Ovis aries: one gene and its partners. The protein of the gene in region 2 purifies or fractionates together with the protein of the main gene of each other region. This does not show direct contact. Links are inferred from orthologs where the notes say so. Each region holds a gene or a part of one and is shown on either strand. Other genes may lie near its edges.

Evidence for each region.
Region 1: the proteins of ENG (region 2) and ACVRL1 purify together in Homo sapiens (affinity purification with western blotting; 3 studies listed by BioGRID and IntAct, with this or other methods). This does not show direct contact. The link is inferred for Ovis aries from reciprocal best matches to the Homo sapiens genes ENG and ACVRL1.
Region 3: the proteins of ENG (region 2) and TGFBR2 purify together in Homo sapiens (affinity purification with western blotting; 3 studies listed by BioGRID). This does not show direct contact. The link is inferred for Ovis aries from reciprocal best matches to the Homo sapiens genes ENG and TGFBR2.
Region 4: the proteins of ENG (region 2) and TGFBR1 purify together in Homo sapiens (affinity purification with western blotting; 5 studies listed by BioGRID and IntAct, with this or other methods). This does not show direct contact. The link is inferred for Ovis aries from reciprocal best matches to the Homo sapiens genes ENG and TGFBR1.

What each region holds. Positions count from the first base shown.
Region 1 is NC_056056.1:134,405,299-134,412,609, forward strand, and holds part of ACVRL1 (serine/threonine-protein kinase receptor R3), read right to left. Parts: intron 6,734-7,311; exon of another isoform or gene 6,368-6,733; intron 5,799-6,367; coding exon 5,730-5,798; intron 5,184-5,729; coding exon 4,935-5,183; intron 4,750-4,934; coding exon 4,538-4,749; intron 4,289-4,537; coding exon 4,189-4,288; intron 3,831-4,188; coding exon 3,684-3,830; intron 3,401-3,683; coding exon 3,125-3,400; intron 2,405-3,124; coding exon 2,207-2,404; intron 1-2,206. UniProt on the Homo sapiens protein: Type I receptor for TGF-beta family ligands BMP9/GDF2 and BMP10 and important regulator of normal blood vessel development. On ligand binding, forms a receptor complex consisting of two type II and two type I transmembrane serine/threonine kinases.
Region 2 is NC_056056.1:8,359,927-8,367,962, reverse strand, and holds the start of ENG (endoglin), read right to left. Parts: upstream 5,313-8,036; 5' UTR 4,947-5,312; coding exon 4,880-4,946; intron 1-4,879. UniProt on the Homo sapiens protein: Vascular endothelium glycoprotein that plays an important role in the regulation of angiogenesis. Required for normal structure and integrity of adult vasculature. Regulates the migration of vascular endothelial cells.
Region 3 is NC_056072.1:5,221,473-5,228,783, forward strand, and holds the end of TGFBR2 (TGF-beta receptor type-2), read left to right. Parts: exon of another isoform or gene 1-387; intron 388-1,353; coding exon 1,354-1,481; intron 1,482-4,207; coding exon 4,208-4,387; 3' UTR 4,388-6,689; downstream 6,690-7,311. UniProt on the Homo sapiens protein: Transmembrane serine/threonine kinase forming with the TGF-beta type I serine/threonine kinase receptor, TGFBR1, the non-promiscuous receptor for the TGF-beta cytokines TGFB1, TGFB2 and TGFB3.
Region 4 is NC_056055.1:48,709,158-48,716,468, reverse strand, and holds part of TGFBR1 (TGF-beta receptor type-1), read left to right. Parts: intron 1-4,871; coding exon 4,872-4,997; 3' UTR 4,998-7,311. UniProt on the Homo sapiens protein: Transmembrane serine/threonine kinase forming with the TGF-beta type II serine/threonine kinase receptor, TGFBR2, the non-promiscuous receptor for the TGF-beta cytokines TGFB1, TGFB2 and TGFB3.

The DNA of each region.
Region 1 (7,311 bases), about 130 Mb from region 2:
AGGAGGCTAAAGAGACTCGGGTTCTGTCCCTGGGTCAGGATGATCCCCTGGAGGAGGGCGTGGCAACCCACTCCAGTATTCTTGCCTGGAGAACCCCACGGACAGAGGAGCCCAGCAGGCTACAGTCCATGGAGTCGCAAAGAGCCGGACAGGACTGAAGCAACTTAACACACACACACACACACACACACACACACTCACTCACTCACTCTCTCTCTCTCTCTCTCTCTCTCTCTCTCTCTCTGAAATTCAGGCCAGATTCAGGCCAGAGAGGTTAAGAAGCTTGTCTAAAATCACACAGATAGTAAGTGACAGAGCTAGGAGTTAAGCCCAGGAAGTCTTACCAAAGCCCATGCTCTTGACCTCCAAGCTACACTTGAGGGAGGGGGGCAGACTGCTGGGTAAGGATATAGAATGAGGAGAAGGGGAAGAAAACACATCTTCGAAGGGAAGGAGATTTACCCAGGTCCAGATCACATCCACTCACTCTCAGGGGTGGCACAGGCCTCTGCTGACCCCCTCAGCCAGCAGTAACCCCTCCCCTCATCATCCCAAGTGTGCCATCCTGAGCAGGATCTTTCTGAAGATGATGCTGGTGGAGCGGCAGTCACTGAGGCAGAAGAGGCCAGACCCCAGAAAAGCACCTTAGGCCCCACCCTTCTTCCAGCCCGAGGCTGGGGGCTGCAGCCACACAGAACAGCCACAGCCTCAGGAGAGCCCGAGCCAGCTGTGCTCCCCGTGGCGGGCGTCCAGGCCGGCCCCCGTGCTGCTTGAGCCCTAATCAGTGCTGCGCAGAGGCCTGAGCGTGTCTAATGGGCCTTTAATCAGCGCCGGGGCTGACACCAGATTACAGTGTTTATAATGCGCCGCGAATCTGTGTGGAGCTGACAGAGCTTCCCTCCTCCCCAGGAGTCTGCAATCAGCCTCCTCTTCAGCCCAGGCTGGTCCAGCCTTCCTTTCCTGCCTGTGGCTGGGTCCGAGGGGCCTCGGTTGCTTCCAGGTGCCCCCTTTACCAGCCCCAGCCTCTGGAGTTTGTGTCTGAACCTGAGCCCAGCAAGAGGGTGGTCCTCAACCTGTCAAGACTCCTGGCAGCCCCTCTCCGTGGACAGCCTCCACAAAGACTGACCAGCCTCCCTACCTGGTCCAGAGCACCACCCAGCACCCATCCACCCCAAGACTGGGAAGGCACCAGCCACAGGGCAGGCCCTCTATGGGACCGTGAAGAATGAGGTCCCTGTGCCTGCTCCTCTCCGAGCTTCGGTTCTCTGTAGCACCCGTGGTAATAATGAGGCAGGAGGGACTTCCTTGGTGGTCCAGTGGTTAAGACTCCACTCTCAGTGCAGGGGGCACTGGTTCGATCTCTGGTCAGGGAACTAAGATACTGCATGCCGCACGGTGCAGCGAAAAATAGTAATAATAATAGTAAGGCATCAATAAGCAGGAAGTGCAGGCACTATTACATCCTGCATTTCTGAGGGAACAAGGACCAAAGAGGTGGAAGTAGCTCAGTAATAAAGAGCACTGGTCCGAAGAGTCAAAGTGCCTGGTTTCAGACCCCAGTGCTGCCGCTAGCCAGCTGTGACTCTGTGCCTCAGTCCCCCAACCTGTAAAATGGGGGTGCTGCTCTGTCACGCATTTGTCATTACGACAATTGCCACCAATATTTACTGAACTCCACTACAGTTCCAGATACTGCCCTGATTACCTTATTTGGATTATCTCAACAGCTGGAAATTATTTTTCTTCTCATTTTACAAATGAGGAAACTGAGGCACAGAAAAGTAAAGTACTTCACACATGGCAAAAATCAGGCACTGAACTTAGTCTGATTTCCCTCCGTTGCTCTTAACCACTGAAGCATACCACCTCCCTGCCAACACAGGACAATTCAGTAGGATAATACATGTACACAGCATGACATCTGGCACGTACTGAAACTCAATAAATGTTAGCTGTTATTAATATTTCTGTTGTTACCAATTACCCGAGATTTCGCAGCCAGAATCAGACTCAGATGAACCTGCAAAGGTCGCTCAGCTGAGCCAGCTGGTGAGTGACAGGAAAGGGAATTTGGAAGGCCTGACCACAAGCCCCTCAGGCCACTGGCCGGCGGAGACAGGAAGCCCTGCCTCCCACCTGTCTGCCTGGGTATCCTCCGGCCCTGTTCCCCTGTCCCACCCTGTGCAGGGGGGTGCCGGAGGCTCACCGTTGACAATGGTCCGGCGGGTGATCTCCCACAGCACCAGGCCAAAGGCCCAGATGTCCGTCCACTTGTAGGATTCGAAGCAGTCGGTTCGGATCTGCTCTTCCAGCACCTCGGGGGCCATGTACCGCTTGGTGCCCACTCGCGGGTTGTTGCCAATGTCCAGGTAATCACTACCCTGGGAGTGCATCACAGCCAGGCCTGTGGGCACCGGGCCTGTCACTGCCGCTGCTCACCCGGGCCCACAGACAGGGTGGCCCTGGGGAGGCTGGAATCCCGGCGTGAGGTGAGAGGGCGACAGACGGCAGGACACAGAGGGGCCGGCAACTGGAGACCGCCCTGAGCTGGGCTGGGAGCCAGCAGCCACAGGGAGAATAACTGTCCCTGTCATACTTGGCCTGCGTGGCGCTCTCTAGGCGCAGGGATCCGGTGAGATGCGAGTAGGCAAGGCAGGCATATATTTCAGAACTGAATCCCAGCGCACGGTGACAGCGAGCAATGTGCTCAGCAAAGCCGGGATGAGAACCCAGGTTGCTGGCTCCCTGCCCCTTTCTCCCCACACCTGGAGCCTGGCTGAAGTGGTGGAAGGAGTCTGGGCTTGAAAATACTGTTAAGGCCGCTGGTGGGGTGTGGGGTTCTTGTGGAGGTGAGACGAGAACACACACACACACACATGCCTGTAAGTTTTAAAGTGCCAATCAGTGTACACACACACACACACAGGAGGTGAGATGAGAACATACACACATCTGTAAGTTTTAAAGCGCCAGTGTGTATACACACACCCCCACACCCCTGTGAGTTTTAATTCGGCCAGTCAGGCCACTGAAGCCAGGCATCCAAACAGGCGAAGGCAGAACCGCGTGGAGAGGGCGGGCGCTCGGACTCCACGCCGGTCAGAGGCCCGCCCTCCGCGCTCACCCAGGTCGGCGATGCAGCACTGCAGGTTGCTCTTGACCAGCACGTTGCGGCTCTTGAGGTCGCGGTGCGCGATGGCCGGTTTGCCCTGCGTGCCGAAGATCTCCACGTGCAGGTGCGCCAGGCCGCAGGCCGCGGACACGGCTAGCTTCAGGGCCAGCTGAGGCTCCAGTGTCTGCCTCTGCAGAAAGTCGTAGAGCGAGCCGTGCTCGTGGTAGTGCGTGATGAGCCACAGCTGCGTGCTCGAGTTGCGGGAAGTCATGTCCGAGGCAATAAAGCCTGTGGGCGGAGGATCAGGTGGCTCACCGCGGGGCTAGGGATGAAGGAGGCTGGACCGGTCAGGGTCAGGGCTGGGGAGACAGGATGGAGAGGTCAGGGCAAAGCTGGGAATGGGGTGGAGGCTGGTCTGGCTTAGGGCAGAGAGGAAGCTGGAGTCAGAAGCTGGGGCCGAGCGCAGCTGGGAGTCCTTCAAGGTTAGGTCAGTGTCCAGAGGCCGGGTGATGGGGCAGGGCAACGAGAACCCCGGGCTGGGCCCAGCGCTCCCTGCCCCATCCCCGCTTGCCTAGGATGTTGTCGTGTCTGAGCAGCACCGTGTTGTAGATCTCAGTCTCCCGGAACCAGGACTGTTCATCTCTGGAGGAGAAGATCTTGACAGCTACGCTCTCACCATGCCACAGGCCCCGCCACACCTCGCCGTAGCGGCCCTTTCCTGATCCAGCAACCAGAGAGGAGGGAGGGGGTCACATACTGAACACACAGAGCCCTTGGGCACAGTCACCCTCAGAAGAGGCCCCCCTCCCATTGCTGCCCTGGCTCCAACTGCAGAATCTCTGAAGATTCTGTTTAACTGAATTCAGACCCACGCGCCTCTGGCAGGCCACCTCCATTTGCCTCTTGTTCCACCCCAGCTCCTGGCCAAGGATCAGGCACTGCCCCGTCTCCAACTCCCTCCCTGACTGGCAGAATTCCTGTTCTGACCCAGGCCTGGGCCCACCTATGACTCCCTCACCCCTCCAAGCTCAGTGGGAGCACTTGGTCCCCATCCCCTGAGCTCACCCACTGCTCACCCACACACTCCACCAGGGCGACCTGTCGAGCCACTGTCCTCTGCACCAGGAACGGGAGCCCTGAGCCACTGCCCGTGGTACAGCTACTGTCCAGGAGGTCCTGGGAGTACCGAGAGGCCACTGAGGGGCAGGCCCCACCCACCAAATCCATTTCTCTGTCCTCAGCCTGGGCCCCACTGCCTCATCTCGCCACACTTCTCATTCACAAACCCCTCCCGCCCAGTGCCAGCCAAATCTGAGTGCCTGCCACGTGCCTTTCTCAGCCACCTGCCACTCTGTGCCCCCTCTGACTCTGTGGCTCCTGTCTACCCCCCACCACCCGGTGTCCCAGGTTCCCCCAGGCCCGCACCCCCAACATGCTGTCCCCCTGCTCAGACGGCTTCAGGATGAGGCTGGACTCGCCCAGCTCACTGTTCGCGCCCCGCTGCTTCTCCTTCCTCCGCCGGACATGCCACAGGCCCAGGGCACCCAGGACTACGAGTACTAGCAAGGCCAGCACGGGGCCCAGGATCAGAGGCAGCTGGTCATCTCCTTGCGGCTGCTCCGGAGGAGTCTGGGTGGCTGGCGGAAGAGGGATACTGAGGCCCAGCTTCCACCAGGCCGGATGCCCCCCACCTTCCGCTCTGCCAGTCAGACCCCGGGGCCCTGCCTCCCCCACCCCCCAGGCCAGAGCCTGAGAGGCAAGCAGGGCAGGGAGGGCAGAGTCAGAGAAGCCCAGGAGGGGTTTCCAGGGCAGCCGGACGTACCTTCTAGCACCAGGGACACGTTGTGGTTGCAGAGGCGGCTGTAGCAGCAGTAGTGGTTGACGAACTCCGTGGGGCGCGCCCTACAGACCTCTGGGTGCATGTTCCCGCAGCCCCGGTATTCCCGGAGGTGTCCGTCCTCCCACACCAGCACAACTGTACACCAGGACCCCTGGCAGGTAGGCCCCTTGCAATGTGGGTTCTCACACGTGCAGGTCACCAGTGGGCCCCGAGAGGGTTTCAAGGGGTCACCTGAGGGACACACTAGAAGCTCAGCCACTCTGGGCCCAGCTCTCCAGGAGGAGCCTAACCCCTAAGTCTGCCCAACTGCCCCCTCCCTTCTGAGCTCTCAAACCAGCCCTTTGAGGTCCCAGTCCTTTAGTTTCATCCTCAGCCTTCCCTCTAGCGACATATCCCCACCAGGGGCAGCTGCCACCGTGAGAACCAGGCTTCTCTCCCTTCCCTGATCCTTGGACCTCTCCTCCAAGTTCCAGTCGCAGCACGCCCCCAGCCCCAGTGCTGAGAGCTCTACCAGGCCCCTCTGCCAACAGCCCCACTGTCTGAATCCCCATACACATGTTCCCACCCTGGAGTCTGAAAGAGCTCCAGCCTATTGGTTTGGATCAAGAAGCTAGCACAGGAGGGTTAGGGTAGCTGAGAGCTCAGTCTCACTGAACCCTGTCTCCCCAGTCCCTCTCCTCCCAGCTCCTCAGACTCAGCCCAACAAGAGCTGAGCCCAGACAGCCCTTTCTTTATCCCCTCAGGCCCCTGTTCCCTACCTGCTTCCCCAGTACTCACCCTGGGTCAGGCCCAAGGCCATCAGTAGCATCAGAAGCCTTCTCCTGGGAAGGTTCAAGGTCATGATCCCTGGAGAGGAGAAGGGGTGCAATAACATCTATGAAATGTGATCACCCTCAGTGTTTTCAGCCACTGACTGTGGGTCCCTCCCACCCAGAGGAAATTGCTGGGAGATTTTTTTTTTTGTTGGGGGGGAGGCAGGGAGGCCTCCTCCCTGTGTCTGGCTTTGGGGCGGGGCCTGCAGGGGAAGTCCTGGTTCACTTCCCCATGGAAACCATCCTGTTAGGGGTAAAGGGTGGGGAGCCATGTTTAAGTGAGTGAGAGCTTGGGGGACTCCCAGCTGTCCTGCCGCTGAGTGCAGACTGGAGGGCGCAGAGAGCGTGGGGCTGGGGTGGAAGGAGCAGCTCTTCAGCAATACCCCACCCCTGTCTGTCCCTGTCCCTTGCCCACCCCTTCCCAGCCTCCACCCCTGCCCACCCCTTTCCCAGTGCTCCCCCCCCCCCACCCCAGGCCTGGCTGCCTCAAACATAAACAGGCTCCTGTCTTCACTTCCTGCCATTCAGGGTCCCGCCAAGCTGGGAACAGGAATCAAGATTGTTTAGATTGGGGTCTGGATAGAACAGGCAGGAGTCACGCACAGCAGGGAGCTCAGGACATGGTCTCAGGGCAGGCTGGAGTCGCTACAGGGTCTGCAGGAGCCACCTGGGGCTGGGACACCCCCATGACGGAATCCTCATTCACCCTGTGAATCACAGAGCCCAGTTCCTTATTTCAGAGAAGATGGGGGTCAAGGCTCAGCCAGGAGAGGAGGCTTGTCCAAGGTCAAATGGGGTTCAGTGGCAGCGGTAGGGGTACAACCCAGGTGTCCAGACGCCCAGTCCAGTGCTGCTTCTACTCCTTATCCCAATCTGGGGTGCCAGCCCATGTCTGAAGTTGTATCAGCCACACCGAGCCTGGACAGTGCCAGGCCGCACTGTCTCTAAGGAACCTCCCTGCACCCTCATTAGACTATACGATGTCCTCTCTGAGCCACTCCCCTGCTTCTCTCTGTCCTTGAGGTCCTGGGAAAGAGTGGGGGTAGGGCCAGTGATGTGGAAGGGAAGTGAAACATACTTAGACATTGAATGTTTGACCTTCTGTTGTTGGTTAAGATTGAATTTTTCCAAAAGTTTGGTGGGGATTATTAGGGGAGTAATTCTGGTCTATGACAGTCCCATCTCAAGTCCCAGACCGGCTAGTGCTTCAGAAGTGACCTCCATCTTCATCTCTCAAAGGCTTAGAATGAAAAGATTAGGGCTGAGGCTGCAGCAAAAAGGACTGAGATCAGACAGCAAGAAGAACTTTCTGAATGGTGGAGAGTAGCAGATGTGTGCCTGGGGACAGAATGCCCAGGTAGGGGTAGCAGACATGAGGAAAGAGAACTGTCTTCTGGGGTAACATGGTAAGGCTGGAGGGCTTGGCATAGGGCCATATAGGCTGCAGAAGGCCCCTAGTCTAAGAATGATGCCAAATGAAGATCCATGATGCTGAGACTCTGAGGGCAGGATGACTGGGGGGTGGGGGGTGCTTCGTGGGCCTCACT
Region 2 (8,036 bases):
AGCACTCCTTTCCCCAATCTGTCCTGGGCTGCTGATGTCTCTGGGTTAAGGCCACCCTCCACAACCTGGAGTGGAGTTAAAAAGTGCCAGGATCCAGGACTTCCCTGGTGGTCCAGCGGCTAAGACTCTGAAACCCCAGTGCAGGGGCCCAGGTTTGATCCCTGGTCAGGGAACTAGATCTCACCTGCTGCAATTAAGAGTTCCCATGCCACAGTTAAAGATCCCACATGTTGCAACTAAAAAAAAATTAATACATAAAGTGTAGAGATTGAGAGATGTTGAAGTTTCAGATCCTGATTCTGCTCCTTTCCAGCTTCCTTTCCATGCCTCAGTGCTATTACTTGTAAAATGGAGTGGTCATAGTTAAAATACCTTCCTTGGTGAGTTGGTGGAAACATTGGTAAATTGACACAAGCATGGTGCTAAACAGGATTCCTGCTCAGGAACTAGAAACCGCTGTCAGTTATTTATGTCCACTGGGGGGAGATGTGAACGTTTCCATCAAACATACCTTATTCCTTGCCCTTTCTGTGCCCTCTCCCTGAACACTTCTTTTCAACTCCTATTCATCCTTCAAAACCCTGTTGGGAAAATCTCATCAGAACCCATCCAGTTGTTCTCTAGGTAGGAGACCCATTAAGGTGCAGGAAAAAAACCTAATGTGTGGGGTAAGACGATTTGGCAACAGAGAGAGCCTCATTGTCTTCCCCAAGGCACTATGGTGTATGGTTAGGTCCCGGGCTCGAGCCCCTGATACTCATTTCTGAGCTATGTTACTCAGGCAAATTCCTTCACCTGCCAGTGCCCCAGTCTTCTCAGCTGTGAAATGGGGCTAATAGGAGAGCCTGCTTCATCGGGCTTTTGTGCAGGTTAAGTCTGATAGTACACATAACAGGCCTAGAGCAGTGGTCTGGCCTTCATCTCCACCTTTGTCACAGGTATTAAAGTCAGTTTGGCCCTGGATGAGAGTCCTCTTTAGCCTCCAGAGCTGATGCCCCAAAGCTGGGGCTGGAGCTAGAAGAAGGGGCTCCAGAACCAGGGTGATCAGTGTTCCAAGCCTCCCACAGCCACCCAGGCCACCCATGGTACAAGGAAAAGAAGCTGAGTTCAGTAGACAGCTTGGATCTGTCACTAGTCCTGAGCCTTGATTTCCTCATCCGTAATCTGGGTATAGAGACAAAAGGCAGCCTGACACACTGGAGACGCAGAAGAGGTGGTCCCTCCTGCTCACCCTGATTCCTCACTAGGCCCTTGAGCAAATAAATAGACCAGGCTTGTCCTCCGAGGGCCCAGCACTGACCTAGTGGTGCCCATGAGAAATTGAGATCGATTCTTTCTCTCTCTCTGGGGCTTAGTGTTACCAACTATCTGGCCAAAGTGAGAACCTCAATTAATGGTCCTGCCCTCACTGTCCCAGGGAACCCCTGTCTCCTGGTTCACACAGCTCCTGCTCCAACCTACCTTTCCTCCCGGCAAACGAGAGGCTGCCCCGAATGCACTCTAGGGATGGATATCTGTAGGCTGTGTCCTGCATCCCTAGCCCCTTCTCAGGGGTCAGGGCTGGGGAGACTCTCACACAGGTGGCCAGCAGCACAGGGGACTCCAAGTCACACCTCTACCCTGTCTTTCAGTAAGCACTTACCCACACTTAGGAAACACTCTTTGATTCCAGCCACCCAGCACGGGCCACGAACCCCAGCACCTCCACTTCTGGGACTCTATCCAAGTGAAATACTCCAAAATACAGGAAAAGATGCATGTACCAAAAACGTGCTTGGAAGTGGTATTTATAACTGGTCCCCAAGGGGAAACCACCTAAGTATTCAACAACAAAGGATTCATTAGGGAAATGATGAGATGGCACGTTTAAGGGAGAGAATATTCTAGAACCACAGTGGAATGATCATGGAGTCCACACGACAACATAGAAAACTTCTGGGACATAAAAAGGGTGCATAAGATTTCCAGATTTGATCCACTTGCATTGAAATTACCTTAAAAAGCTAGACAATAGCCAGTAAGAAAGACACCAGCATGCTAACAAGGCCCAAATTAATAGAAGGAGCTGGGAGGTCATTTCCCCCACTCTCATCTATTTTCTTTGAGGAGCGGACTCGAGTGAATATATGGTTAAATTGCTTTAAAAAAATCTATACGTATTTGCTCTTAGAAGAAATTCCAGCATGACAGGAAAGTGTGTTTTAGAAAGTGAAGATCGTCTAGAGGAGCCTGGTGCTAAAGAGCAGTGACGTTGGGGTTTTCTTCGTGCATACGGTACGTCACATATGTGCTTGGTCACGTCTGACTCTGGGACCCCACAGACTGCAGCCCGCCAGGCTCCTCTGTCCTTGGGATTTCCCAGGCAAGAGTACTGGAGTGGGTTGCCATTGCCTTCTCCAGGGGATCTTTCGACCCAGGAACCAAACCTGAGTCAGCTGTGTCTCCTGCATTGGCTGGCAGTATTTTTTACTGGCTGAGCCACTTGGGAAGCTCACAGTATGTGTTTCTGCTATTTTATAGAACTGGAGTCAGTACTGTAGGAGCATCTGACAGTGTGTCCCAGACGGATGTCCACAACAGTGTAGATCTGGGAATATCTTTTTCTTGGTAACTGCTATGTGAGATTCCAGTGCGTAGTCAGCCATGTCATGGAGTCCAGGCTGGTGGACACTGCCTGGCTTTTGTTACAGGCACCCATGGACCATACATCCTTACTGAGTCGGGCAAGTAAGCCCTTGGGGCTGACTTCTGAAGGCAAGGATGTTACACAAGTTCGGGTTTTGAAAGATTCTGCCAGGTTGTGTTCCCAGAAGGCTAGATTCATCCAGGGACCTGTTTTGGTCTTATTTTGACCGCTGGGGTGCCAGCACCTGCCAGCAGGAGCAGATTAATATGTTATCAGGAGTTTTTCCAACTGGCTCTTAAACATAGCCATAATTAAAAATTAAATTTTATAAGCTTATCATTAAATAAATCACATATTTTATGTGTAATATATTTCAAATGTATACTATTGTATCGAAAGTCATAAACCCTAATTATTTTATTCCCCTTATATTATCTGTGTTCTTAAGGTTATCTACGTCTGTCATATCTGGGTGGTGGAAATAGTAGATAAAGCTTTATTATGGCGCAGCCGCCCCAACTCCAAGTCTGCTGAGCTGATAGCTTGAAATCAGCTGGGTGGGAACATTGACACCATGGATATTAACAAACATTAACAACCCCCCACCCCCACCCACCTCTCCCAAACCACTGTTGACTATTTGCCAGCATACCACTGCCTTCCATCCTATAAAACCCGACCCTAAAGAGCTGCGAGGGTCTTTCTCTGATGACCTAGAGGAAGAGAGTGTTATCAAACTAGAAAGTGGGGGAGGCTGGAGAAAGGCAAGATGGCTGGGGGCCTATTGTGGAGTTCAGGTACAGCTTCTGTCAGAACTGTGTGGAACTCAGCAGGTCAGAGCCTCCACTTCCCCTCCTGTAAAATGGGGTGATAGAGGCAGCCGTCTTGGAAGATAACTGGGAGCTTATGGAGAGTGGCTGCCATATCACTGCCTGATCAGGAGCAAGTGCTCAAAGGAGCCACAGGCCTGGGGCGAAACCCTGCTGGTTCACTTAATGTCTGAGACTCGGTTTCCTGTATTGTCAGTGAAGCAGTGGGAAGAGCTTAGAGACCCAGGACTAGAGACCTTAACATGCCTTGGCTGGAGTTAGGGGCTTCCCTGATGGCTCAGTGATAAAGAACCTGCCTGCAAAGCAAGAGACAGAAAGAGACTCGGGTTCGATCCCTGACTGGGGAAGATCCCCTGGAGAAGGAAATGGCAATCCACCCCAGTACTCTTGCCTGGAGAAATCCCGTGGACAGAGGAGCCTAGTGGGCTATAGTCCATGTGGTCGCAAAGAGTTGGATACGACTGAGCGACTAAATAACAGTAATGACAGGGTAGGGTAGGGAGGGGGTGATCATCATTGCTTCTGTTCCCATTCTCACCCCTCCACCCCTATCCCTTAAGGAGGTCCTGGATGTGCCCGAGGTGAGGGGGTGTCCACACGGCTATCTGGGGGCTTCAAATAAATGAGGGGCAGGGCACAGAGAGGCCCAAGGAGAGTGGCATGAGGGGCCAGGGTCCCCGACTCCTTGCTAACTCTCATCTAGTCATTTCAGAAGGTCGCAGAGGCCATGACCACCTGGAGAAGCCCCCAGGCTGAACCCCTAGTCTGGGCTGAGCCCCCATTCCGCACACTTCTTGGGTGTAAGCGGAGGGAGCACCCAGTCGGAAGGATTCCAGGAGCCGCTCACAGGCCCCAGGGAAGGTGAAGGAGGAGGAACGTAATCATAAAACCACAACAAACAGAAACCAGCTTGCCACTGACTTTCCCCGAGGGGGCTTCTCTTATCATCCTCTGCTCGGCTCACCGGCCCGAAGGCAGTCCCCCAAGATCACACCACGAGGAAACACAACGTGAGATCTGAACCCAGAGCCCAGGTTCTGACTCTGAGACCGCGCACCCTCCCGTCCCACCCATGCCTCAGATGAGGAACTTAAGGCCCAGAGAGGGCAGGGGACTCGCCAAGGGCTGAACAGCACTCTAGGACCTGGGCTTCCTGGGGAGAAACTGGACGTAGCTGGAGGCCAGTTAAGGTAAATAACTCATCCCTGTTTGCCCGAGTCGTTTAGGATGGAAAGTTCATCCTGCCAAACCGGGATGTTTGGTCACCCTGTGACATCTGTCTCGGGTGGTCCAGAACCCCCCTGACCCCAGGACAGCTCCACTGGGCAGGAGTCGGGACAGAGGGAGGAGGCCGGGAACACTCGGGGCCTGGTCTGTGCCCTGGGGGCCCAGTCACCCCCTACCCGGGTCCCTGGACACCTACTTGTGGGGCCGAGGCTGCACACGACCAGCAGCAGGGCAACGGCCTGGCAGAGCACGCCGCGGTCCATGCTGTCCTTCCGGGGGTCTGCGTGCGGGGCCTTATCCGGTGTCCAGGGGCAGGGCTGCGGACGGGTGCGGGGGCCGGCGTGGGCTCTCGCGGGGACCCAAGGGCAGCAGGCAGCTGGAGCGACGGCGTCCCTGCTCCAGCCTTCTGAGGTGGCGGCTGAGGGGTCAGGAGAAGCGGGCACGGGAGCGTGGGGCCAGGCCGGGGGGTTGCTGGCCCAGCTTTAAGCGGGGAGAGGCTGCAGGGCTTTTGTGGATGGTGGTAGCGGCAGCAGCAGTCCCGGCCTGTGGATACAGATGGAGGCTGGGGTCTGACCGTCAGCTATGGGAGCTCCGGCTCATCCAGCCTGGCCCGGGGAGGCAGGAAATGCGCTTCCTTAGAGAAGGGGCCGGGCCAGGCGGCCTGCCAGGCAGAGAGAGGAAGTGCCACAGGCTTTGTCGCTGGGTGGGGGGCCCTGGGGCGGGGGTGTTTGTTGGGGGGGAGGCAGTGGGGTGGGAGGACCCAGGCTCCAGGTTCGTCTCCCCACATACCCCACCCTCCCATCCCACCCTCTCCAACGGCTGGCTGGTGGGGTACATCTGGCAGCCCCAGGGGGGCAGATGAAAAGAACCATCCTAACAGCCCACCAAGGGGCACCATCAGGGGCCAGGCCTGGCCAAGGCCTGGAACTTCACGGGGAATTCAGCTCTGTGAACTCGCTGTCCCCGTTTTGTAGATGAGGGCACAGAGGCTTGATGAGGTGCGATCACTGACCCAAGAAGATGGTGGAGCTGGAGTTTGAACAGGTCTCCTCGGGCACCAACACTGGTTTCCCTAAGTGCGACACTGGGCTGGCGTTCCCTTGTTTTGTAAGCAGGGAGCCTGAGGCCCAGGATAGGGGAGCAATGCTCCAAAATTGGCACAGCGCGGCAGCTGGGGCTGAGATCTCAGGGCCCAGAGAGCGCAGAGGACAAGCCCACTGCCACACAGTCGCCCTGGAAATAAAGCAGGTACAACAATGCTTTCCTCGCCAGGCGGTTGCGAGATTTCCGTAGGTCCAGGTGCCATAGCACAGAGCTCTGGGCCCGGCACTCAGAAAGGGCTTGCCCATCACGCTCCCTGAGCCTGGGAGACAGTCCCAGAACTGTCCCTTGCTCATTTGCAAACAGTTAGCACCAACTACATGTCCGCCTTGGTGCTAGTCACGGGTAGCACTTTAGGATCAGCCCCAGGAGGTTCAGAGGAGGAAGCCGCTGCCTGGAGGAGGGAGCATTTAGGTCTGGCCTGTGGAGTCTGGGCGAGTTGCGGTGAGGGGGTGGAGAAAGGGGTGCGGAGGGCGAGTCAGGCTGGGCACCAGCCTGAGCAAAGACACAGAGGCAAGAAGTGGCCTGACAGCCGCAGGTCAGGCAGGGGTGTGGCGGGGAAAAGAGACCTAGAGAGGCAGACTCTGGCCTTGCTCTGGGAGAGGGGGCAGTTTTTACTTGAATTTAGCCGCACCGGCTCTCAGCTGCAGTATGCCAAACTCCAGTCTTTGTTACAGCAAGGATCTTCAAGTTACAGCTTGAGAGACTTTTAGTTGCAGCATGTGGGAATCTAGTTCTCTGGCCAGGGATCGAACCCGGGACTCCTGCATCGAGAGCACAGTCTTAACCGCTGGACCACTAGGGAAGTCCCAGGGAGTGGGGGGCCTTCAGGACTGTATCCTGAAGGCCTCGGGAGTCACAGAGGGTTCTGGAGAGGGGGTGCTGGCAGAGTGGGCTTGGAGAGGACGAATTTCCGTCCCACAGTGGGGACAGAGCCAGGGGCTTTCCCCTTTACACTTGTCCTGGTCACAGATGGAGAAACCGAGGCCCAAGGAAGAAGGAGAAGGTGGGAGCCCTGGCTGCCTCCGGATAAACCGGGGGCGAGTGGAACGTGTTTGTGTCTGTAGGAGCTGACCCCCAGGGCAGGAAGGGCGGGTGTGGCTCCTTGGGTGGAGGTGGGGAAAGGTTTGCTCGCCCAGCCCTGCGGCTGCGCGTTCCATGCCCGGCCAGGCTCGGGTCTTGGGTCACTGGAGACCCATCCCAGTCCAGAAAGGCCAGGAAGGCTGTGACAGAGCAGAGGGAGACCCCCGAGAGTGACTGTTCCTCGGCCTTTTCCTGCAGCCTCGGGGATGGGGAGGTGGGCATCACCAGGCACAGGGTGGCTCCAGTGGGGGAAGGTTGGGTGCCTGTGAAGTTCCCCAGGCACCCTCCCAACCAGAGTCCATGCCCCAGGGACAGTTAGTTACTCCAGTCCCCCCGGAGCTGAACTCTCCCTCTCTCAGGCCCCACCCTAGGCCTTCCTCTGTCAGCTCTGGATCCCCTCAGTCACTCCAGAGACACAGGAGGAACCTGAGGCTCCCTGAGGTTTGAGTGACCCCAGTTGGAGACCCCAGGGCTGCCTGGCTCCAAGCTCTGCTCCTTCCCATCTGCTCCCATCTGAACTTGGAGAGGACAGATGGCCCTAGGTGAGGGGGATTGTTATCCAGAATGGGTGTTGGGGCATCTGAGGCCATAACGGGGACCCCACAGGAGGCTCCTCTCAAACCTCCCTCCCGGGAACTTTCCTGGTGGCCCAGCGGCTAAGACTCCAAGTTCCCGATGCAGAGGGCCTGGGTTCTATCCATGGTCAGGATCCTACGTGCTGCAACTAAGACCCCATGCAGTGAAATAAATAAATATTTTTTTTAAAAAAATAGAAAACACTGCCCTCCCATCCACCCTCATGCTGCTAATCCATCCCCTCTCACACGGTAAGCAAGACCCACTGGGTTTCTCTAGAAAGTGGGAGAGGCCTAGATGGACCCAGGCCATGCTTGTTTGTGACTTCCAGGGAGAGAAAAACCTAAGGAGGGCCTAGAGTCCTGAGCCCAGGGGCCCGGTGGAGGGAGGAAGATGGGGCACCCAGGGCTGGAGAAGGGACTCACCCCAAAGCTCCCATGGCACCCTGACGCCGCCACCCCTCAGCCAGCCTCATGCTGTGTGAGTCTGCTCGACTAGCAGCCCCTCGAGGGCAGGGACTTAGATGTCTCTGCTCCACTGCTTCCCCAGCACAGAGCCCAGGAGGACCTTCTGGTCCTTAAGACTCACTGATT
Region 3 (7,311 bases), on a different chromosome or scaffold from region 2:
GACTACTAGGAATGAGATAGGTAAGTTACAAGGGTACAGTGGACAGCATAGAAAACACAGCTGTCTTTACAACTTTATAAGAGCACAGCCTATAAAAACACTGAGTTACTATGTTGTATACCTGAAACCGATACGATGTGGTCCGCCTGCCAGTCAAGGAGATCTAAAAGACGCAGGTTCTATCCCTGGGTCGGGAAGATCCCCTGGAGTCGGAAATGGCAAACCACTCCAGTATCCTTGCCTGGAAAATGCCATGGACAGAGAAGCCTGGTGGGCTCCAGTCCATGGGGTCACAAAGAGATGGACGTGACTGAGCAACTGTACTTCAATTGGAAAAAATTAGAAGGAAATAAGTGACATGAATTTCCCTTAAAAAAAGAAAAGAAATGGACCTTATTGAAACCTGAAACTCTGATGAAGGGTTTACATCATCCTTCATTATTTTCTTTTTAGCGAGTACCACTGAAGGAAAATTACATTTTAGAATTGTGTTTGTTATCAATCTCTCTCCCCTGTCAGCTAACTAAAACAGCATTTCTGAACCTCTTTTTCATTATTACTATTGAAAGGAGCCTTTGTAGACTTCTTTTTTTTTCGTAATCACTACTCCCCACAACTTTTTATTCCTGTGGGAAAATATACATGATACAAAATTCACCAGTTTAGCCATTTTTAACTGTTTACGATTTTTTAAAAAGTGGTGCAGTTGGGTAGCATTAAGTCCATTCACAATGTTGTGTAATCATCATCATCATCCATTTCCAGAACTTTTCCATCTTCCCCAGCTGAAAAGCTGTACTAGTGAACAGTCTCTCCATCCCCCAACCACCTCTCTTCTCCTCTCTGCCTCTGTGAAGTAGCCTATTCTAGGTACCTTACATAAGGGGGACCATACAATATTTGTCGTTTAATGTCTGGCTTACTTCATTTGGCACAATCTGTGTTGCAGCATCTATCAGTTTCATTCCGTTTTTATATGGCTGAATCTCTGCAGGAAATTTAATACCACATGTTAAATCTATTTATGTGCTGCAGACCTTTGTAGGGCCACGAACCTTTGTAATACGGAAGGCTTTTCTACCTCCCAGGGACCATGATCCTTAAAGCCCGTATCCCCTGACCTGGTTGATCTTGTTCTCGGATCTGTCTCCAGTTGTTAGCACTTCATGGTCACTGAACAGTCAGTCATGTGTTGACGACTTCAAGGTCCTTCTATGACCCCTCCTTATAATTTTATTAATCGATTAGAATTAAAAACCACCCCCAGCGTAATCACAGGCGAGTCCTGACAGTCAGTATCCCAGCTGTGCACGCCCCTCTCAAGGCCCTGTGTCCGCCTGCTCTCTCCAACAGAAGTGAAGGACTACGAGCCTCCGTTCGGGTCTAAGGTGCGGGAGCATCCCTGCGTGGAGAGCATGAAGGACAGCGTGCTAAGAGACCGGGGCCGGCCAGAGATCCCCAGCTCCTGGCTCAACCACCAGGTGAGGGGGGGCCGTGGTATTCACCCAGAGGGAGAGGGACAGCTCAGGCAGCAGAGAAGTCCAGGCGGCTGGGCACCAATCTGATGTGTTCCGTGTTTCTGCTTGGTTTTCTTCATAAAGGAGTTTCAGTAAAAAGGGATGACCTTGTTACTGTATGTCCCACCACAAGTAAGAAAGGGCTCAAACACAACGTGTGACGGGCACCTGTCATATTGTCCAAGACCCCTTGGTTCTGAACTAAAAGATTGTGTTTACAGCCTCTGCCACTCATCCTTTCCATAGGGAGTTTGTGTTTTGCTGTCTTCTGGGTTCCAAATGTTTTCTTCTGGGAGCCTTCAACATTGGCAGGAACTACTTGTGAGAAAGAAGGGGACTGTCCGCCAGCTGGCCTGTGAGGGGCTGCTGTGTGCTCAGGCCGCTGCAGGCCTCTCAGGGAGGAGGCCGGGATGAAGAAAGGCAAAGAAGAGCAGAGGGCAGGGGAACAAACAGGAAATCTGTCTTTCCAGAATCTCCTGACAGGCGGTGGATGCGGCCGTCCGTCCGCAGCAGATTCTTTGCTCTGGGGGCATTTTGATGGGGCAGCAGAGGGGGAGGAGGACCCGTGGGCTGCGGGAGCCGGGACGGTCTGGCACAGCAGGGAGGAGCTCTGGACCACAGCCCCGTGCTCCCAGCTCACGACACCCTGTCTTTTCCATTGACGTAAACCTTTTATGGCTGCCTTTGGATGAATTCCCTCACCCAGGGAGGGCTGGGCTAAGTCCTAGGTTTCCTAAGGGTAAGGCAAATGCAGATGAGAAGCCGAAACCACAGGTCAGGCGTGGCCAAGGAGACAGATGGAGCAGGAAGCCTGTGTGTACCCGCCTGGCTGAGAGCCGCTTCAGTGGGCAGGCCCGCTGACATCAGGGAGAGCCTGCACCAGGCCATGGACCCTACCGTGGGGGCCCAAGGTTTCTCCCCGGCTTTCAGCAGAGCCTCTTTGACTTTGAAAATGCAAAGCTGTTTTGTGTTCACTCTAAACTCAGAAGGTGCGATACTGTTTCCTTCAGCTCTGTTGCCTCCTCTGCCATACAGTTCTTATAATGAATAGCCATTATTTATGATGGTAAAATTCTGGAAAGAATTTGCATAATACATTTTTCCTCTTAATGAGATTTGTTGCCCTATTGATTTCAAGTTAATGCTTAATATTTAATTTAATTTACTGCCTGTAATTACAGTGCCAGAATAAAATAAATGTTACTTGTGTACCAATAATAACACTCCACTCTTAACAGGGCCATCAATCAATACCATCAATTAGGGGAATTATACAATTAATCCAACATCATGGGCTCACTCATGGGGCAGGAAGGGAGGGCAGGTGCTGGGTGTGGGGTGCTGTTGCTCAGACTGCAGACAGGCAGGTGCTGCTCTCAGGGAAGGGCTGGGATAGATGCATCCCCTGGGCCACCCGTGTGCGCGCTCACCAGTGGCAGGGCCGGGCCTCTGAGAGGCAGAGTCTGTTTCCACTCTTTGGGCTACATAATTAGTCCATGTCTGCCTTATTTCCAAAAAACAACTTGAACTAACAAAAGCATTTGCAAAATGAGAGTTAAAGCCACGAGAGAGACCGTGGTTGTCTGTTGTGGACAACATTTTCTGGATGGGCCTTTCTGAGTGGGGCCTTCAGGGGGTTAGGTCAAGACCCCTGATACAGCCTGCAGGACATACGAAGACAGCTGTTTCCCAGGGTCCAGGCTGAAGCTGGAGAGGAAGGGCCGAGCAGAGGGTGTCCTTGAAACTGTTGGAAGATGGGCTTGGATCCTTACAAAGCATGTGGGCTTGACTAATGTAACCAGACTCATGCCCACATGTCCCTCCAGCTGGGATAGTCAGTCCTGTTTAAATAGGAATGCGGGTGGCTCAGATGGTAAAGAATCCGCCTACAGTGCAGGAGCCCTGGGTTCGATCCCTGGGTCGGGAAGATCCCCTGGAGAAGGGCACGGCAACCCACTCCAGTATTCTCCAGTATTCTTGCCTGGAGAATCCCCAAGGACAGAGGAGCCTGTCGGGCTACAGTCCATGGGGTCGCAGAGTTGGACACGACTGAGTGACTAACACACACATGTGATTCCAGCTCTGACTCTCTGGAAACTGTCTCATTGAGACAGTTAAGAGGTCAGTGGTTGTTGGGGGCTCGAAAAAGGAAGGAGGGCCGAGGAGGCACACGCAGAGGATGTTCAGGGCAGTGACCTTGTGAGGGCTGTAATGATGGACGCTTGTCAGAACCCTGATCCTGTACCTCACCATGAACCTCACTCTGGCTGACTCTGGTCAACAGTGATGTGTTAGTGTTGCTTTACTGGCTTTAACAAATGCCTCACACAGATGTAGCGTGTTGATGGTGGGGGAGGCGGTCTGCGTGGGGGGAGGGGCTAGATGGTATGGAAATTTTGCTGTGAACCTAAAGCTTCCCTCAATAGTAAAGCCTGTTACTGCACCCCCGCTCCCCAGAAGAGAGAGGTGGGAAATGGCAGTGCAAGCCCACTTCTTGGGAATTTTCACGAACGGGTATGCTGCTGTCCCCAGAAGCCTGCTGGGGACCTGAGCCTCTCTATCTGTGTCTCTGCTTCCCCGCTTCCTGTGAGCGGGAGACCCCGAGTGCTGCGGTCAGATGGCGCCGGGGGCTCCCCGCCCCAGGAGCTGCCACCCCCTCTCAGGGGCCTGTGGACCCTCTCCCCCTGCAGGGCATCCAGACGGTGTGCGAGACGCTGGCCGAGTGCTGGGACCACGACCCCGAGGCCCGGCTCACGGCGCAGTGCGTGGCCGAGCGCTTCAGCGAGCTGGAGCACCTGGACAGGCTCTCGGGGAGGAGCAGCTCGGAGGAGAAGATCCCCGAAGACGGCTCCCTCAACACTACCAAATAGCTCTTCCCGCGGCCGGCCCAGCCCGGCCGCCCTGTGGCCAAAGAGCAGGGTCAGCAGGAAGCTGCCCCTGACGATGCTTCCTGGAACCCGGGGTGCTCCCTCCCCCGAGCTGGGAGGGGGTGGCAGGAAGCAGCCTCTGCCTTTGACGTTGTCATAGGATAAGCTGTGTTAGCACTTCCTCAGGAAATGAGATTGATCTTACAATAGCCAATAACATTTGCACTTTATTAATGCCTGTATATAAATATGAAATAGCTATGTTTATATATATCTATATATGTCTATATATACACAGCCATACTAGTGGAAAGAGGTGAGGACAGAGATCACACGTGTCCAGACGTGGGCTGGATGGGCAGCCTCAGCACTTGGTGGCACGCATGTGCTGGGCTCAGGGCACAGGGGGAGGGGGTCTCTGCCTTCAGAGAGAGGCAGCCTGCTGTGCCAACATTGCACTTGCTTTTGCAACGTAGTAACTCCCTGCACCGGGTCCTGTTCTGGCTGTGGAGCCAGTCGGAGCCGCACTGTCTGGGGACCAGACCCCGAGGCCCCCACGTCCCATCATCTCTCCTGGACTCGGCACTGAGCTTCACACCCGCGTCTGGTTTGTGAACCGCCTTCCTCAGCTAGCTCTGAAAGTCTCATTGCGTTAACGTTTTAAGTCCCATCTTTTACCTCCACAAGCTACAGAAAAATCAGAACATGTTTCCCTACCCGTGAAATTGCCACACCTTGTACTGAGAAAGTGTTCTTTTTAAAAAAGTCCCCCCCCAACCTATGTTACTGTTCCCCATTTCCTAAAAGGGAACAGATCTCCCTTCCAGGTTCTTTATGTTCAGTTTTTCATCACGCTTGGTTTCTGTCTTCCGCTTGCTATGCATCACTGGTAGGTCTCAGGCTCCAGGGGGCTTGAGCACGTTTTGGCCGCATGGACAGTATTGAAGCAGCATGGTGCTGCGACAGTCAGGACTGTCTCTCCAGGCGCTCGGAACGTGTGTTTTGCTTGGCCAGCACAGTGTTTAACAAAATTGAGCCACTTTTTAAATATCTGGAGATTTTGCAAAAAAATCTGGGATCCCCGAGTGAGACTAGATAGCAGACAGCTTACAGTTCTCACTGTCCCACATCATTCACAGATGAAGGTGTAGACACACTTAGAAAGCTGCTCTCTCCCCCTGTTCTCACCCTAGTTTGGGAATTAAACCTTCTTTCCCCAGCCAAGGTTCCCTGCAAGAAATGTGCATTCACGCAACCATTCTCTGGCTAATAGAGTGTGGTTTTGATTCCCTTCCTGGGGTTAAAATTTGAAGTTGGCCTTTTTTTTCTGGAGTGACAAGGACTGCCTCTGGATGGTCCCTGTTAACCCAAATCTCTTTTGCTTGTATGTTAAGAGTGTTCCCCTCTGCATTCAAGGGGGGAGACCTTTACTCCAAGAAGTTGTTGTCATGGTTACCAGTCTCTTAGTCTCTTACCCACCTTCCCAGTGTTTGCAGAATTTGAATGTGGGATGCAGGAGTCCCATCTGCAGTTAGGAAATCTGTGTCCATGTGGGTAAGAACCAAGAATGAGCTTTAATCCTCCATAGGAAACTTGGTAATCCACAAACAGGTGTTAATGCTGCAAATAAGCTCTTTTGTAAAAATGATTTGAAGCTTGTTTTCAGCCGAATAGGTAGGAATATTGGAGAGGGACTGGCAATGATCAGATCAGCTCTGCTTGGGTTTTGGAAGCCACATCTCGTTGGGGTTTTAGCAGACACGCTGAAGTTGGGATTAGGTGGAATTTTTAGGAACCCTTCTTGGTTCAGGTGGACTGACAGAGATAAGGCAGTTTGGCCACAATGCCATGGAAGTGCCCAGAAGTCCCGTGCACTTTAGAGCTGGTGATGCTGTCCCAATAGCTGTTGCTCATTGACCTCTAGTGGTGAATTTCTAGAATACTGGTCCATTATGAGAACTTCCAAGATTCAAAAGAGCTTTATCACTTCTGGGTCATCATCAGCATAAACTGGAATGTAGATGATACTGTGGCTTGTTTTATGTTTGTTTTCTCCTTATTCAAGAAAAAGACCAAGGAATAACATTCTGTAGTTCCTAAAAATACTGACTTTTTTCACTACGTAAAGGGAAAGTTTTATTCTTTTATGGAACATTTCAGCAATACTCATGTATTAAAATAGGAATGTGAATGCTGTATACTCTTTTTATATCAAATGTGTCAAGCACTTATTTTCATTCTATGCATTGTCTTTTATATAAATAAAATGTTTATTCGATTGAATAAAGCAAAAGTACTCAGGACAGCTTCCTGCCTCCTGTTCCTGTTCATAGGAGCCCGCAAGCCTCATTTGGTTATTTTGTAGTCTGCAGAAAAATCCACAAGACAGATCCTCTCCAGCTTTCCCACGTTCCCTGTCATCTTCACCTGACTGTGGCAGGTTCCTATTTCTAAAAATCAGTCACTTAGTACTGTGACATGTGGCAGGTGCTGATGGTGTCTTGCTCCTCATCCCAGGGTCAGCACGGTGTCACTCTGCATCTCTGAACAGTACATGTCCATTGTTTCCCCGTGGCCTCTCCTGGGGCGTGGCCTCTCCTGGGGCGTGGCCTCTCCTGGGGCGTGGCCTCTCCTGGGGCGTGGCCTCTCCTGGGGCGTGGCCTCTCCTGGGGCGTGGCCTCTCCTGGGGCGTGGCCTCTCCTGGGGCGTGGCCTCTCCTGGGGCGTGGCCTCTCCTGGGGCGTGGCCTCTCCTGGGGCGTGGCCTCTCCTGGGGCGTGGCCTCTCCTGGGGCGTGGCCTCTCCTGGGGCGTGGCCTCTCCTGGGGCGTGGCCTCTCCTGGGGCGTGGCCTCTCCTGGGGCGTGGCCTCTCCTGGGGCGTGGCCTCTCCTGGGGCGTGGCCTCTCCTGGGGCGTGGCCTCTCCTGGGG
Region 4 (7,311 bases), on a different chromosome or scaffold from region 2:
TTTTTCATAGCTAATTATATCAATGAGTAAAAACAGAGTAATTTGGTTTTTATGTTCAATTTCAAGCACATTGCAAAGGCGATGGAACATTTTGAGTGGCCATCCGTTTATTAGAGCAGTGTTTAGATCTGCCAGTGAAACAAGGCTCCTGCATTTTAAACTAAAGCTTCCTGGCTTTCCCTGGTGGCTCCATGGTAAAGAATCCGCCTGTCACTGCAGTTAACACGGGTTCAATCCCTCATCTGGGAAGACCCCCACAGGCCACAGAGCAGCTGAACCCATGCACCACCACTTACTGAGCTCTAGAGCCCGGGGGCTGAAACTTACTGGAGCCCGAATGCCCTCAGAGCCTGTGGCTGCAACAAGAGAAGCCACCACAATGGGAAGTCCAAGTGCCACAACTAGAGAAAAGCCAGGGCAGCAATGAAGGCCCAGCACAGCCAAAAACTATATATATATATATATGTATATGTATATGTATATGTATATTTTAAAGCCACCTTTCAACCAGGGCAGCCCAGAACAGTGGGCTGTGTGCTGGCTGGAATCAGGAGGCCTATATTCTAGATCCTGGCTACCATATGTTTCAGAATCTGACTTTTGGCAAAGCACTTCAGTTCTTGGGACCTTAATATGCCTTTTTGTAAAATAAGGGATTTGGATGATTGTGAAGATGGTTCAGATGATTTTATATTTTATTCATTTCACTGCTCATATGACTATTCATCAGGAATTTGTGGAAACTGCTTTTCAGCAGTATCTGAGCTTTTCAACCCCAGCTCTTTACAAAAAGTTTTAGAAATACTTTTGTAGTTATACTTTTAAAGAATTTATAAGAAAAATGTTATTTATCCTTAATTGCTTTTACTAACGGAAGTAGAAGGTATTAAGAATACATAGAAAAACTGTACAGAAAAGGTTTTAATGACCCAGATAACCAGGATGGTGTGATCACTCACCTGGAGCTAGACATCCTGATGTGTGAAGTCACGTGGACCTTAGGAAGCATTAGTACAAACAAAGCTAGTGGAGGTGATGGAAAGCCTAAAAGATGATGGATGTTGTTAAAGTGCTGCACTCAGTGTGCCAGCAAATTTAGAAAACTTTTTGAGCAGTGGCCAAAGGACTGGAAAAGGTCAGTTTTCATTCCAGTCCCAAAGAAGGGCAATGCCAAAGAATGTTCAAATTACCACACAATTGCACTCTTTTCACATACTAGTAAGGTAATGCTCAAAATCCTTCAAGCTAGGCTTCAACAGTATGTGAAATGAGAACTTCCAGATGCACAAGTTGGATATAGAAAAGGCAGAGGAACCAGAGATCACATTGCCGACATCTGTTGGATCATAGAAAAAGCAAGGGAATTCCAAAAAACACTTCTGCTTCATTGACTACAGTAAAGCCTTTGACTGTGTGAATCACAACAAACTGGAAAATTCTGAAAGAGATAGGAATACCAGACCACCTTACCTGCCTCCTGAGAAACCTCTATGCAGTCAAGAAACAACACTTAGAACCAGACATGGAAACAGCAAACTGGTTTAAAATTAGGAAAGGAGTACGTCAAGGCTGTATACTGTCATCCTGCTTATTTAGCTTATGTGTAGAGCACATCATGTGAAACGCTGGGCTGGATGAACCTCAAGCTGGAATCAAGACTGCTGGGAGAAATACCAATAACCTCAGATAGGCAGATGATACCACCCTAATGACAGAAAGTGAAGAGGAACTAAAGAGCCTCTTGTTGAAGGTGAAAGAGGAGAGTGAAGAGGCTGGCTTAAAACTCAACATACAGAAAACTAAGATCATGCATCCAGGATCATCACTTCATGGCAAATAGGTGGGGAAAAAATGGAACAGTGAAAGACTATTTTCTTGGGCTCAAAAATCACTGAATGGTGACTGCAGTCATGAAATTAATAAAGATGCTTGCTCTTTGGAAGAAAAGCTATAACAAACCTAGACAACATATTTAAAACAGAGGTATCACTTTGCCAACACAGGTCTGTATAGTCAAAACTATGGTTTTTCCAGTAGTCATGTATGGATGTGAGAGTTGGACCATAGAAGCCTGAGTGCCTAAGAATTTATGGTTCCGAACTGTGGTGCTGAAGAGTCCCTTGGACAACAAGGAGATCAAACCAAGTCAACCCTAAAGGAAATCAACCCTGAATTTTCATTGGAAGGGCTGGTGCTGAAGCTCCAATACTTTGGCCACCTGATGTGAAGAGCTGACTCATTGGAAAAGACCCTGATGCTGGGAAAGATTGAGGGCAGGAGAAGCAGGTGACAGAGGATGCGATGGTTGGATGGCATCATTGACTCAATGGACATGAATTTGAGCAAACTCTGGGAGATAGTGAAGGACAGGGAAGCTTGGCGTGCTGCATTCCATGGAGTCAGAAAGAGTCAGACACAACTGAGTTAACAACCATTATTATGATACTATTATAATATTGGTAAAACAAAGCATTTCCCTTTGGAGTTGATGTTTTGTAGTATAGGAAGAATAAAAAGCTGTTCACTTAAGTAGTTTATTTTACATCTTAAAAGTAGGACACAACTGAAGCGACTTAGCAGCAGCAGACTTCATTAGATACTTGTGAGATCAAGAGAGTTCCTTGGCTGCCTCCAATGAAATCCAGTATGCAGGCCCAGACAAAATATATTGTGTGCTCACAGAACCTGCATGTTTAACAAATGAAATTGGCCTAGATTTTGTCTTTGAAAAATTTCATCTTGACACTACAAACTGGAATTATTCATGCACTCATTCAATAAGCAAATTAGAGCAAATTAATATTAAACAGATGGCTAATTAAGCATGAAGTTAGTAGTTAACATTAAAAACATACATGCAAGTTGCAATTACTGTCGCAGCATGTTGAATTAATGCCATCACTGTCATTTTAGATTTTCTCTCGATTTAGCTAGTTTTGTATCACTAACTTAATCTTTCACTTTTCTTGGGTTTTACAAATCTCCCCTCAGTAGCTGAAACACATTGAGAATTTGAAACTGATAGGATGCCTACGGAAGTGTTTTTCAGAGCCCTCTGACCTTTTCCAGTCTGAAAAGCCAGTCTGGCTCTAGGCCAGCTTTCATCTTGGGATATCCCTCACCTTTCACCTGTGATCTCTCTTGCCTCTTCTGTGGTGACTGCCTTTCTGAATCCCATGTCTTCACATTTCTTGGTTTGCTCATTTATCCCCCTCTTCCAGCTCTTTGCTCAGATGTTACCTTGTCAGTGAGACGTTACCTGTCAATCTATTTAAAATAGCACTTTCCCCCCCCCCTGGCATATTTTATCTCCTTCCCTAAATGATGTTTCTCCTCAGCACTTAGCACGGACAGTCCATGCATTCTGCTTATTTATTATATGCTCTAGCCCTCTATAACGTAAGCTTTATGAGAGCAGAAATGTCGTCTGTTAGTTCACTGCTGTGTCTGTTAGTGTATCCTACCAGATGCATGTAGGATGGCATCTGGATTATGGCACTCAGTTTGCTGGATGATTTTATGCATGTCCTGAACCCTTGGTCATTTTTACCTGAAAACAAATGTTCATTTCTAGGAAATTTTCCTCAAGTATTCCCTTCCATTTTCCGTTCTTTTTCTTCAACTCTGGTTATGAATGTAGACATCCTGAACAGGCATTCTGATTTTCTTGTGTTTTTCTTCCTATTACCCATCTCTTTGTTTTCTTTTCTCTACTTTCTGGGAAAGGAATCCGCCTATATCTTTTGGTCTTATTATTATCACTCAGGTTTATCTTGTGGTTTCATAAAACTTTCCCCAAACCAAACAAAACCCCAAAAAAGTATTGATAAGTCCAGTATCAGTAATCTCTGAAGATATTAATGATGGATTGTTGATATTGTCTTCTATACACCTTTTGGTTTTTCCAAGGTGTTGTTTTCTGTGTCAGTTTCTGCATTTCATATTACTTTCCTGAAATGTTTGATCAAGCTCATGCTCTGTATAAAAGCAGCACTGAAAGCTGATAGGAAGCTTTGTGCACGTGAATGGAGCTTATCTTCCACTGCAGTCTAAGGGTGAAGTAACTGGATTGCTTCCTTGGGGAACCACTGATGTCTCTCTTTAGGCTTTTCTTCTTGGGCTGAAGACTCTTCTGGTCTCTTACCTGGAGGACCATGTAAAGTCACTGGCCGTGTTCTGGGGAGAAAGTTTACTGTCTTAGCATTTAGTGTGTTGTCAGTGTGGAATTTTGCCCTTATTTCCCCAAGACGGGAATCTGTTCTGCTCTCTCAGATTGAAACCTCTTGTCTTCTGTTCGGATGGGGTGGGATGGTCACCCAGCTGTGTGAAGTTGGGGCAGGGCAGGTATCTGGGTTTCCAGCTTCTTTGGCTGATTCTATTTTTACCCTGAACTTCACCCCAGGGATACAGGATATAAGTTAATTCCTCAGTTTTGGGGGCCATTTCATGTGAGTCAGGTTCTCTTTGCTTTGCACAGCTCTTTTGAGGATTCAGGTTTCTCAGGCTGCCAAGTAAATCCTCCTTTGTCCATCTGCTTTCCAGCTGCTGGCACCAGTATCCTGCTGATGGGAATTTAGGTCATCTTTACTCATTTGCTATTACAAATAATGCTGAAACAGAAATACTTGTATGTCGTTTAAAAAGAAAATTTACAGGTAGATGAGATGGCTGGATGGCATCACCGACTCGATGGATGTGAGTTTGAGTGAACTCCGGGAGATGGTGATGGACAGGGAGGCCTGGCGTGCTGCGATTCATGGGGTTGCAAAGAGTCGGACACGACTGAGCAACTGAACTGAACTGAAAGATTATTATCCAGGTCGTTGAAACATGGTGCATGCATTAATGATCTTTCTTTTCTTTTCTTGTAGGCCTTGAGAGTAATGGCTAAAATTATGAGAGAATGTTGGTATGCCAATGGAGCAGCTAGGCTTACAGCTTTGCGGATTAAGAAAACATTGTCACAACTCAGTCAGCAAGAAGGCATCAAAATGTAAATTCTGTGGCTTTGCCTGAACTCTACTTCTTCTTCAGATCTGCTCCTGGGTTTTAATTTGGGAGGTCAGTTGTTCTACCTCACTGAGAGGGAACAGAAGGATATTGCTTCCTTTTATGACGATGTAACAAGGTGAACTAAAACATCCCAGGATTTCTTCAGACCCAGGAAACTGCCATGTGGGGTCCTTTCTGTGCACTATGAACGCTTCTTTCCCAGGACAGTTACAAAATGTTGTGTAGTCTACCTTTATTTTTTATTAACACAGAACTTGTTTTTTTAAATGATTGCTGGTCTTAACTTTAGGTAACTGCTGTGCTGAAGATCATCTTTAAGGGTAAAGGAGCTGGATGGCTGAGTTATATGAAACATTTCTTATTTTTAAAGAAAGTGATTTCTCCTGGTTAGTACATTCTCAGAGGATTCTGAACCACTAAAGAGTTTCTTTGATTTAGACTTTGAATGTACTGTTCTATAATTTTCAGGATCTTAAAACTAACACCTATAAACTCTTGAGTCTAAAAATGACCTCATATAGTAGTGAGGAACATAATTTATGCAATTGTATTTTGTATATTATTGTTCTTTCACATATTCAGAACATTACATGCCTTCAAAATGGGATTGTACTATACCAGTAAGTGCCACTTCTGTGTCTTTCTAATGGAAATGAGTAGAACTGCTTAAAGTCTCTCTGTGTGTTAAACCTGTCATGTTTTAATTCAAAAGTTTATTTACCTGGATAACCCAGACTTACTCTGTTTTGTTTTCTGGAAGAGTTTTTCTGGTATGTTCTTTGGTATTCCATTTTGAAAATGCCTTTCTCCTACCAAAATGTGCTTAAACCACTAAAGAAATGAAATGGCATTAATTGGTAAATGGTAATCATGGTCATAATTAAGTATTCTCATCCAGTTTTTGCATTTTAATTGTATTGTCTAAGTACACTTTAAAAAAATCAAGTGGCACTCTTGATGCTTATAGTACTTTAATAACTTAAAATCTGTAGCATACAGACAAATTTTTCTAAAAGGGAAAATTTGTCTAGCTGCTTGTGAAAAGTTGTGTGGCATTCTGTAAGCCATTTTTTTCTTTATCTGATCAAAGACAGTGTTATTTTTTTAAGAAATGAATTACGTTTAAAATTAGAATATGGTTAATGTTAAATAGGCTTTTTTCTAGGAAGGTAAAGGTAGTTGATAATTTGAATAGTAACAGGTATTTGAGAGTCACACCGTTGTGTAGGAGTCACTGTTCTGTGGACTTTGTCTTCGTAGCTAAGGTTAGAGTCAGTGTGGTTTTGAGGTCGCACTACACTTTGAGAAAGGCAGCTTCTAATTCAGTCTTTCCTTCTCTGTGCAGATATTGCAACTGCCTAATTTATATGGCTATGGAGTGAATTTGGTGCACCCTCAATATCTGGGAAGGTGATAGCTAAGGCATATTCCAAGGATAGATTCTCCATTTACAGATGTTTATGGTGAAATTAAGTGTTTAAAGCAAATCTGTCATGGCCTTCTCACATTAAGGTGAAAGTAGCTTATAATAACTGGTTTTACTTCCAGTGCTAAAAGTCTTTGCAGGATTTTTACAGTTTTTCAAAGTCCTCTTTATCACTGTGATCTTAATCTGAGGGAGGAAAGTCTATCATAGCTGTGAGGCAAGATGTCCTTATAGAGCTATCAATTTCCTGATGAAAGGGTCAGAATAATTACCTTTACAGTATTTTGGTCATTAAGAGATAGTGGCCATTTATGCTGATTGAGCTGCATTCTGATAACGTCTTATTTCTTATAAATAGAATAAATTTTAAAGACTATTTGGTCTTAAAGCCAAAGTAATTTTAGAATGAATGAGATACTTCATAGGAATTTAGTGTCAATTTCACGTGTTTAAAAACAACATGGGGAAAATATTGGTTAGAGGTTAATATTTTGAGTCCAAATTTGAGTTTTTTCTGTAGTTACCATGATTTCATCAAAGCAAATGAGTGAGTTTGAGAGGTTTGTTTTATAATTGTGTTACGTTTCCTGTTTAATAATCTCTAGCTCTATGATCAGGTACTTTTACTTTTCTTTTTTTTTTTTTTTGGCCATTTACAAGCCTACCAGATCTGCTTTATGAAATCCAGGGGACCAATGCATGTAATCACTAAAACTATTTTTATATAATTTTAAGAACATACCAAAAGTTCTTGTCTGATTTAAAGTTGTGATACATGATTTCTCAGTTTCATATAAGGTAATCAACTTTTGCTGAAGATATTCTTTATTAAGTAAAAAAAAAGACTTACAATTTTACTGTTCAGCCTAAAT